2 linked regions of the Arabidopsis thaliana genome follow. The protein of the gene in region 2 interacts with the protein of the main gene of each other region in a pairwise test. Each region holds a gene or a part of one and is shown on either strand. Other genes may lie near its edges. The genes, in order: IAA30 and ARF12.

Region 1 (3,841 bases), on a different chromosome or scaffold from region 2:
AAAAAAAAAAAACAAAGGGGACAAAGAATGGTGTGGAGAAAAAAGTTTGAAGAAGAAAGAAAAAAAAGTGAGGAAATTGTGATGATAATGGTAGGGGTGGTGGGGAACATATCTCTTCTTTATCAGTTTCCCTTTTTTTTTTTCTCTCTCAAAAATCATGTTTGGAGTTTCTTTTGGTTCAAGCTAAATCTTTTTCTCTTCTTCTTTCTAATAGTATCTATTTGTTTCTTCAAACCAAACGATATCTACGCAATACATGTCGGTTATTGTGATAACGACATTGTTTGGATGTTTCGGGTTCAAAAGATTTGTATGAATGTGTATACTATATATGTTTTTGGCTCAATGATAAAGACACTTGATAAGAGATTCAGGATCGTTTCAAATTATTTTAAAAAACTATATATAATATGAAAAACACTTTAATACTTAAGAATACTATTTGTAATCCGTAAAACTTTAAGTTCTAAAACCATTAATTAAAAATAAGAAACAAGTTACGTTGTACATATAAACTAAAAGACGGAATGGAATATGATTTGATTGTAAAAATAACTTTGGACAAAATCTTCCAATTATAAAAGAGAGAACAAAGAGTTCTAATCATATTGATTGGTAGGTCATGAAGAAGCTTAAGGAGTGATTGTAGAAGAGTGGAAGTGGAGGCGACAAAGTGAGGAGACACGTGGAAAAAGGCACGTGACGTGGGGAACGTGAAATGTTGTCGATAGTGTTTACTGTCTCGTGCTTGCAAAACTATATGTATGTTTTGGAGTGTGAGAATTGTGACGTATCCTCAGTCCTTAGTCCATAGGCGAAGCATCTCTCATTAGCTCCTCTCTTTAAGGTTACGCATTCATTACTCATGCTTCCCTTCTCTCATTTTCTTTCTTTTTCTATATTCCCCTCTATTTGTTTCTTCGCTTCTAATTTATTACATGTAACGTACAAAACCAAGAAGCATGCACTTTTTTCTGGTGACCAAAGTTTAATATATCAACCGAATTGACTATACCACATACATGTTTCTATCTAAATCCAATGAATATTACACAAATAGAATCTTGGTGTGCCAACCAAAGAGAAGCATTTATTAAAGTCACTATTTTGAATACTAACGACGGATAAGACTAAGATCACCAATATGATGTGTTTTGGTCTCTGCCATGAAAAGATACAGAAATTCTGATTAAGATTTGTGGGAGATTAGCACCACTTGATTCACTTTGATTGCTACACATAAAAGGTTGGTAAATTGGTTTAGTATTGGAAAAATATAGTAGTGGTTGGACTTGACTATAGATGCTTCATGATAAGATAAATTAAAAGGAACAATCAAATTAGTAGAGGAGTGTAATTACTAACAGCGACGTGGATTAAAATCATGGAAAGCTCAAACTCTTGTCATGCTTAGATACAATGGAGTCCACGTAGACTATTTTCAATATTTTTTGTCATAATTAAAGAACATTATTAGAGAGTTAATGACGTACATGAGACGTGTTTAGCAGTTGATATTCAATTTAAAAAACATTTTGACATACTTTAATGCTAAAACAAAAACATTTTTTTTGCTTAAAGTGTCTCGCGGTTATAAAAAAAACCTTAATTATGGAAGTGTTGTTTGTCGAACCCACGAATGCATCAATGCGCGTCACGATAGTCTCATGCATTGAACTTGATTTTACTAAGACGGATAATGAAGTAAACTATGTATTGTACATTGGTCTACATTTATTTAAGAAAACATGTTCTTATCCGGTTTAGAACTATCTTGTCTACGTTCATATGATTCCTTAAATCTAAGCCTAAACTTTTTAAACTAAATCAGTCACAGTTTCTTATTCATTTATAGTGTTTTAACAAAATAATTCAGTTAATTCTAAAATCCAACCCTAATTATTTTATAAGAAATCAAACAATCTTTTTTCTTTTTTTTTTTGTTAAACGAAAGGTAGTACTAGGAGTCGAGTATATTTACATTGAAACAAACAAAATTTAATTAGAACACACCCAGCAAAAAAATCCGAGCACAAAGTCAAAACCAACACTTTGACCAAGTGTCTGCATGACACGTGTATTTGTCTGCTACATGGACAACATCTTTAACAACACTGTCTCATCATTCCACCATTTTCTTTAATTAAAAAAAAAACATATCAGAAAGACCATTCCAATATTATTACTTCTTCCTTTTAAGCTCTAACAATTAAATAAAAATTTCCATTCTCTATATATAATACACACACGTTCAAATCATTAATCACCTGTTTTAGATAAAATCATAGAGAGAGAGAAATAGTAAAAGAAATAAAAAAAAATGGGAAGAGGGAGAAGCTCATCGTCTTCATCGATAGAGAGCAGCTGCAAAAGCAACCCATTTGGTGTGTCTTCGAGTAATACTCGGAACCTAAGCACGGACCTGAGACTCGGGCTCAGCTTCGGATCATCTTCCGGACAATATTACAACGGTGGAGATAACCATGAATATGATGGAGTCGGTGCGGCAGAGGAAATGATGATCATGGAAGAAGAAGAGCAAAACGAGTGTAATAGTGTCGGAAGCTTCTACGTGAAAGTGAACATGGAAGGAGTTCCTATTGGGAGAAAGATCGATCTTTTATCTCTTAATGGATATCATGATTTGATCACAACTCTCGACTACATGTTCAATGCTTCAATCCTTTGTAAGTATCTACACACACTTAATTACATCTTTGCATGTAGACTTAGTTAATATTTATATTTGTTATACCTCTCTTTGCATGTATATAGTTAAGACCAAAACTAATGGCAATAAAAAAATTGTGAAAATAGGGGCTGAAGAAGAAGATATGTGTAGTGAGAAGAGTCACGTGCTAACGTACGCAGACAAAGAAGGTGACTGGATGATGGTTGGAGATGTTCCTTGGGAGTAAGTTCTTTTTTAATTTTAGTGTATTAAAAATCTCTAGTTAAGTATTTTTTTTGACATAATTATGTAAAAATTCCCTTTAATTAATGGGGACTTAATTGATTATGTAGGATGTTCTTGTCTAGCGTGAGAAGACTAAAGATCTCAAGAGCTTATCACTACTGATTTTCTAAAAGCAAACTTGGAAGAATCTAGGATTGACCAATACAGTCAGTGGTGGTGGGGGAAAAAGTTAGTTTTGTCTGAATGTAAATCACTTGTTCGAGATTTTATTCAAATTTTGTTTCTAGTTTTATTACATTTATAAAAAAATCGGTTGTAACTTGTAATGAAGCTATTTTTTTCAAGAAAAAAAGCTGTAGCTAATGCAGATCCTTTTTGGTTTAGTAGTTATTTTTATGGTTTTAGACATAGATTAGATAATACTAGAAATATGAATTGTTTTGGAACACTGCTGAATTAGGTTCATATTCGTATTCTAGTTTTCACAAAGTTTCAGTTGAGTTACTAGTTTAACCAAATCAAGATCTATTTCATATTTTCATACTATCATTTACTTCTCAATTCAACTATTTTACCGGAATAAACAGTGAAATATAGTTGTTCTAGTTATGGAATCTGAAATTGAAAAATAATTGTCAAAAAATTTCAACAGACTCTGTCGGAGATATTACAATTGTTCCGCTCACCAAAAGCATTAAAGCCCATACAAGGAAAACAAAAACAAAAACTCTTAAGCCACTCTGATTATTTTCCTCACTGCACACAAATTTACACGAAAACAACAAAAGATGAAAGAAAGCATCATTTTTCAAAATCGAAGAGGTTTCTTCAGAATCAAGCAAACTGTGTTTCCCCTTTGATGTTCAAAACTTCACAGTAACTTACCAAGAAAGTAACCATGGTGATCTACTTAAACCACTTGAT
Region 2 (5,529 bases):
TTTTAATACAATTTAAATATATGAAATGAAGAAAAAACTCTTTACCAAAATCTGAATACTCGTGATGCTATTACACTCAATCTATGATAACTTTTTATATCTTTTTTCTACCTTTACTTTTTTATTTATGAATTTTCTCCAATCATGATAATTGAAGTATCTATTCACATAATACTTTATTTTATGTATGATTCGACTTAGTAGTTTTATTTGAATATGAATTGGCTGAACTTCCTAGTTCCATCATTATATATTAACTAGTTGTGAGTGCTGACATAATTGCAATGATAGATTTCAGAAAATATTTATTAAAAATATAAACATATTTTATAGTATCATTTGGTTTATGTCTCCAAAATATCCGGTTTTGCAAGTACAATAATAGGTAAAGTAAAATTTTTAATTTATTGAATGACTATATACTTCGTCTTATACAATTTTCTTTTCAAAATATCATAAAATAAATACTACACTCAAATTTTTAGAATGTAGATTGTATGAATTAGAAAGAAAGCTCAATATCACGATAACAAGGGGATTTTATTTTATTTATGGATGATGAAAACAAAAGTACATAATACAAACGCATGCAACAACAAATAAGAGAAAAATAAAAATAGAACAAGACACCAGTAACATTTTCGACCCCTTTTTATTACATATGTTTTGATTCTTAATTCAACTTGAGAGACTCTTCCTGGACTTCAAATTTTTTACCTCCTCTTTTGAATGAATATCTTCTTCACCATGTTGCAGAATTCACTACATGCAAACAACACAAAAAATAAAATATCAATGTCTCTCAAGATGTTAACTAATCTTTCAATCGATAGAAATAGAAAGGAAACTTACGGCCATGGATCGTCTCCAACAAGCATCTTATCTTCGTCACTATCTGTGAAAGCTATTTCCCATTGGTTGCGAGTTTGCAATTGACCTTTGATATCAAAGAGCTTCTCCAATTCTAGTATTAGCTGATCATATCCATTAAGAACACTTAAATCCACAGCTCTTCCTATTGTTACACCTTGCATTTGAACCTGTTCCATATCAAGATTGCGTGAGTTGAGTACAATGAGAAAAAGTTATATATATAAATAATAAGAGTATATTGATCTTATACTTACTTTGGTACAAGTTCTACTAGAACTGAACTGCTTGTTTTGGATCTCTGTTGGTGATCTTAAAGTTTGGCTTAGACCAAACTTTTTTCCTTCAGTAAGTTTCGAAATCTCCGAGCCAATTTCTTCAATGGGATCTTTGATCACCGGAGGAGTGTCCAGAGTGACTCCAAACAGCCTAAAATTAGTGCCTGTCTTGGTTGTTATATTTTCTTCCATTTCTGTAACCATTTGGTTATTGTAATTTAGTTTGGGCATTGGTTGGACAGGGTAGCTCATTAGCAATTTAGAAGGATTCATAGCATCTTCAGTTGCATCACGATAACGAAGAGAAATATTCATCGGAGAGGCAACACTTAGTTGTTCATTTTCTTGTCCTTGTGTCAATATAGGAGGTAAGAGATGTGATGATGAAGAACCTGTATATAAAATAGGATTATTGAGAAGGTATTCAAGAATACCAAATTCATTAAATAGAAGATTAATTCTTTAAATAAAAGATTATAAGAGTCTTTTTTTATACCGATTTCATTAACTTCTCGTAAACGCTTGTTCTTGAGCAAAAATGATCGCGGAACATTTATTGCAGGCATTAAATGTTCGATGTCCCAGGGTGACACTTTTTTAGGTCCCGGAAATGATGTAAATTCATCCCACTGCACCTGCAAAATTAAAGTTAATTAGTGATATGTTATTTATTGCACTCAAAAACGTATTCCTAAAATAATGTTATAAAGTGTGAATGAAATTTTACTTCTAAGCTGCGCCACTCTGAACATTTCCAATGAGGAGAGAAATCACTAACTCCAATAATTGTCCCAAAACATCTTAATCAATTGAACAATATGTGTTATCATAGATAATATTAGACATTATAAATATATTTAAGCAGAAAAAAAATTTCATCTAATGTTACCTTCTTTCAGAGAAATCATCACCCTCTAACCGCATTGTAAATCTTGAACCGACATTGAACTTATTGTTCACAGCGTCCAAGAATTTGTCGTAACTGACAATAAATTTACTTGACCTGATACTTATAAAGACACAAAATATAAACCTACATGTTGAAGGAACTAATCTATTGATAAATCAATATAATCTAAAATGTGAGTTCAAATGGTTCTTTGAATTACCTTGGCTTGTAAACCACAGTGAACATACATTGGTTATCAAAAGCATGCTTTGCGGAAGCAACTACCCCATGTCTCATACAATCTATTGATACTATTGATGAAGGTATATTCCCTTGTTGATGTCTTGCTCGTCTGATACCAACTCGTAACTCTCCAGTCTCTCCCCTGAAACCACAAGTAAATAGTTTAAAGTCCAAAACTCAAGAACCAAAAAATCCATATATAAAAAAACCCAATAATATACCTAACGAATACGATGACATCCCCTGCAACCAATTTTTTTGATGTTGTGAATGCATTCCAACCAGTTGTTAACAAATGTCTTTGCGGTGTACCTGCATGGAATAAGAAGATTATTAGTTATTTATCTAGGATTTATTACCTCAATTGTTGTGTTTGAATTATATGAATAAAAGGAATCATTACCTCTATAGTTGTGGTTGAATCTCCATTGATTACCATGGAGATCTATAGCAAGAAGTTCTTGTGCAGGTAAAGGTTGAGACATATCCTAAACCAAAATTTAATATGTAATGTCTAATGAAAGATTAAAGTTTAAATTTATTTTAAAAAACTATAACATTAAATACCAGCGAAGGGAGACATTCAATGGCATGTTTTTTCGGTACAAAGAATCCACCATGAGCGCTTGTATCTGAGGCCGTTAAAACCTTCGTAAAGGAATTAACTAATGGTCTAAATTGATTTTCATTCTGAGTAGGGATTACAACTTGCTAAACATTTAACAAAATCAGAAAATCAGTGTATTATAATAGGAGGAAAATAGAATTAACTAATAATAAAAGAGAAATACTAAATTTTCACTTACAGTTGTATCTGGCATCAAAGTGATCTCAGCATAAGTCTCATCACTATTGTTTTCCACCTAAAATCAAACATCAAACAATTACCCAATTACGTCTTTTTACAATGAAATTAAATATACATATCATGCGTATTCGCTAAAACATAATAGAGATATACCTTAAGATGAATAGCAATAACACGACATTGAAGCTTAGAAGGAAGATCACAAATTGGTTGTAACTCATTCAACTCTTCTCTTGTAGATGTCTCAACCTGAAAACCCCGTTAAAAGGTTTCATACAGAGAGAGAGAGAAGAGAGAGAGAGAAGAGATGGAGAGAGAAAGAAAAGAGAGGGAGAGAGAGAGAGAGAGAACTCACAAGCTCTATGTGACCTTGAGGAAAGTAATAAACCTTTTCTCCAAGTTTTGGAATATCACACAAAGGTCCCGCACAGAGTTTCCATAACTGCTCGTAAACATAGCTCTTGGATCCATCAACTACCGGAAAAAAACTAAAAATTATAACCAAAACAAGTTTTCAATAAAATAAAATAAAAAGTTAAAATTTCTTACTTATGCCTGATAATTCAGGTTGTGCATTCACAACGTTGCCACTTTCCATAAGCTCGTATCTAAAGATCGGTATACCAAAATATGTTATCTCAACAATTATTATACAACTTTCTCTCTTTCCTCAACTTCTCTTGCGACCATGAGAGCGCAGAATATCACATTTATAGGTAAGAAGTATCAAAACACAATAAAATACTTCCTTAGATTTGAATACTAAATTTAATAAGGTTACCAAAAAATAATAAAGGTAATTTAGAGAAATTTCATTAATATTTTGACTACATATAATAAAATCAATTTTTTTATATATTTATTGATTAACTTACCAAAATCAACATATGCATTATTCATATATAAGTTGAGTAATATAATACAGTTTTAATACTCATAGTAAAAAAAAAAACAAATCTTTGAAATTTGTTTATAGATAGCCATATAAATTTAACTAGGAGTTCTTACTTGATCATGATTACATGAGTAGGAATTCTTTGGTGTCGTGTTGATGCCTTTCATATGTGATCTATAGTACGTCTCATGTTTGCTTTTTCTTTTCAACATATGCATTATTCATATATAAGTTGAGTAATTTAGGAAAATTTTAGTACTTACAACAAAATATATTTTTCTATGAAATTTGTTTAAGAGTAGCCATATAAATTTTAAATATAAGTTTTTGCTTGATTCTGATTGCATGAATAGAAATTCTTTAGCGTCGTGATCAGACATTTCATATGGGATCTATAATACATCTCATGTTAGTTTTTATTTATTTTTGTCTTCCCTTTAAGTTTTCTTATAGATCTTTTATGAACCCGTTTTCTCATATATTGTTGCTCTTTGGAGAATTCTCCAAGGCCATGTTTCCTTTTTCATTTAGTTACGATGTGAATTTGCATGTATCTCATGCCTAATTTGAATGCCCTTGAAACAGGGGTTAATTACTGGTGGTGGTGGTTTGGCCTTACAAAGGGGTATGGCTTATGATGGGTTCCATCAAGAGTGTAGAAAAGCTTTTCGATGCCTCTCAACCCGAACGTCATCCAATCATTTTGCTCTATGTTTTAAATTTGTAGCTTTTATTTTGTTCTTAAAATTCAGATGAAAACTCTTCAATTTTCATTTATCTCGCTCTTCATTTCATGATTTTACTCTTTATTGTATGTTATCCTAGGCAAAGCAACATTGAATCAATTATATGTGTGGGACTCTTGCAATTGAGGAGAGAGACAATGTCAGGACATATAACACATATTTGATTGAAAATCTTTATTGAAGAATCCTTGCTTGTATGAAAGAGGATGAAACTATTTTTGACGATATTAGAAGTTGAAGGAAAATAATCATGGTTAGGCAAAATTAGATGACGCCACTCAGGACTAGCTCATACCTAAAATCCAGCAAGTTCATGCTTTAGACAGCAAATCCTACATTTATTTTAGTGTGCATCAAATTTGTAAAATAGTTTTGTAGTCTAGTGGTAGTTACCCTTACCCTTACAGATAGAAGGTGGTGGATTTGATCCTTGCTCACTAAAATTATTATCAACTTTTTTTTTTAACAGGTCCATATTATTTATAAATGAGTGTTCATAATTGATTATGATTATCTGAATAGAGTTCTCTAGTGTCGTGATTAGAACTTTGGATAATTGTCTGAAATGTCCTTTTTTTATTTATCAAAAACTGATGTAGATGTTAGTCTTCTATTCTATTAATTTTATAAGGACAAAAACTTAGTTAAGTAAAATTTTAACCTTCAAAAGTTCTAGTAGTAACACACCACTCATGGTGACGCTCGACACCGATATTTGATGGCAATTTGATTTCGCTCTTTGAAGTTTTGAAGATTTGCAGATTCGCTCCAGAAGTTTCTTTTATTTTAAAGAAGTCCCT

Evidence for each region.
Region 1: the proteins of ARF12 (region 2) and IAA30 interact in a two-hybrid assay, tested with the Arabidopsis thaliana proteins (one large-scale study listed by BioGRID).

The regions. Positions count from the first base shown.
Region 1 is NC_003074.8:22,993,515-22,997,355, forward strand, and holds IAA30 (indole-3-acetic acid inducible 30), read left to right. Parts: upstream 1-2,171; 5' UTR 2,172-2,320; coding exon 2,321-2,687; intron 2,688-2,817; coding exon 2,818-2,914; coding exon of another isoform or gene 2,915-2,918; exon of another isoform or gene 2,919-3,024; coding exon 3,025-3,079; 3' UTR 3,080-3,295; downstream 3,296-3,841. Other genes in the region: AT3G62110 (Pectin lyase-like superfamily protein), read right to left, coding at 3,799-3,841. UniProt on the Arabidopsis thaliana protein: Aux/IAA proteins are short-lived transcriptional factors that function as repressors of early auxin response genes at low auxin concentrations.
Region 2 is NC_003070.9:12,507,835-12,513,363, forward strand, and holds ARF12 (auxin response factor 12), read right to left. Parts: upstream 3,687-5,529; coding exon 3,638-3,686; intron 3,563-3,637; coding exon 3,444-3,562; intron 3,338-3,443; coding exon 3,242-3,337; intron 3,144-3,241; coding exon 3,087-3,143; intron 2,992-3,086; coding exon 2,848-2,991; intron 2,769-2,847; coding exon 2,684-2,768; intron 2,593-2,683; coding exon 2,502-2,592; intron 2,423-2,501; coding exon 2,258-2,422; intron 2,152-2,257; coding exon 2,038-2,151; intron 1,949-2,037; coding exon 1,876-1,948; intron 1,784-1,875; coding exon 1,645-1,783; intron 1,541-1,644; coding exon 1,128-1,540; intron 1,041-1,127; coding exon 853-1,040; intron 763-852; coding exon 714-762; downstream 1-713. UniProt on the Arabidopsis thaliana protein: Auxin response factors (ARFs) are transcriptional factors that bind specifically to the DNA sequence 5'-TGTCTC-3' found in the auxin-responsive promoter elements (AuxREs). Could act as transcriptional activator or repressor.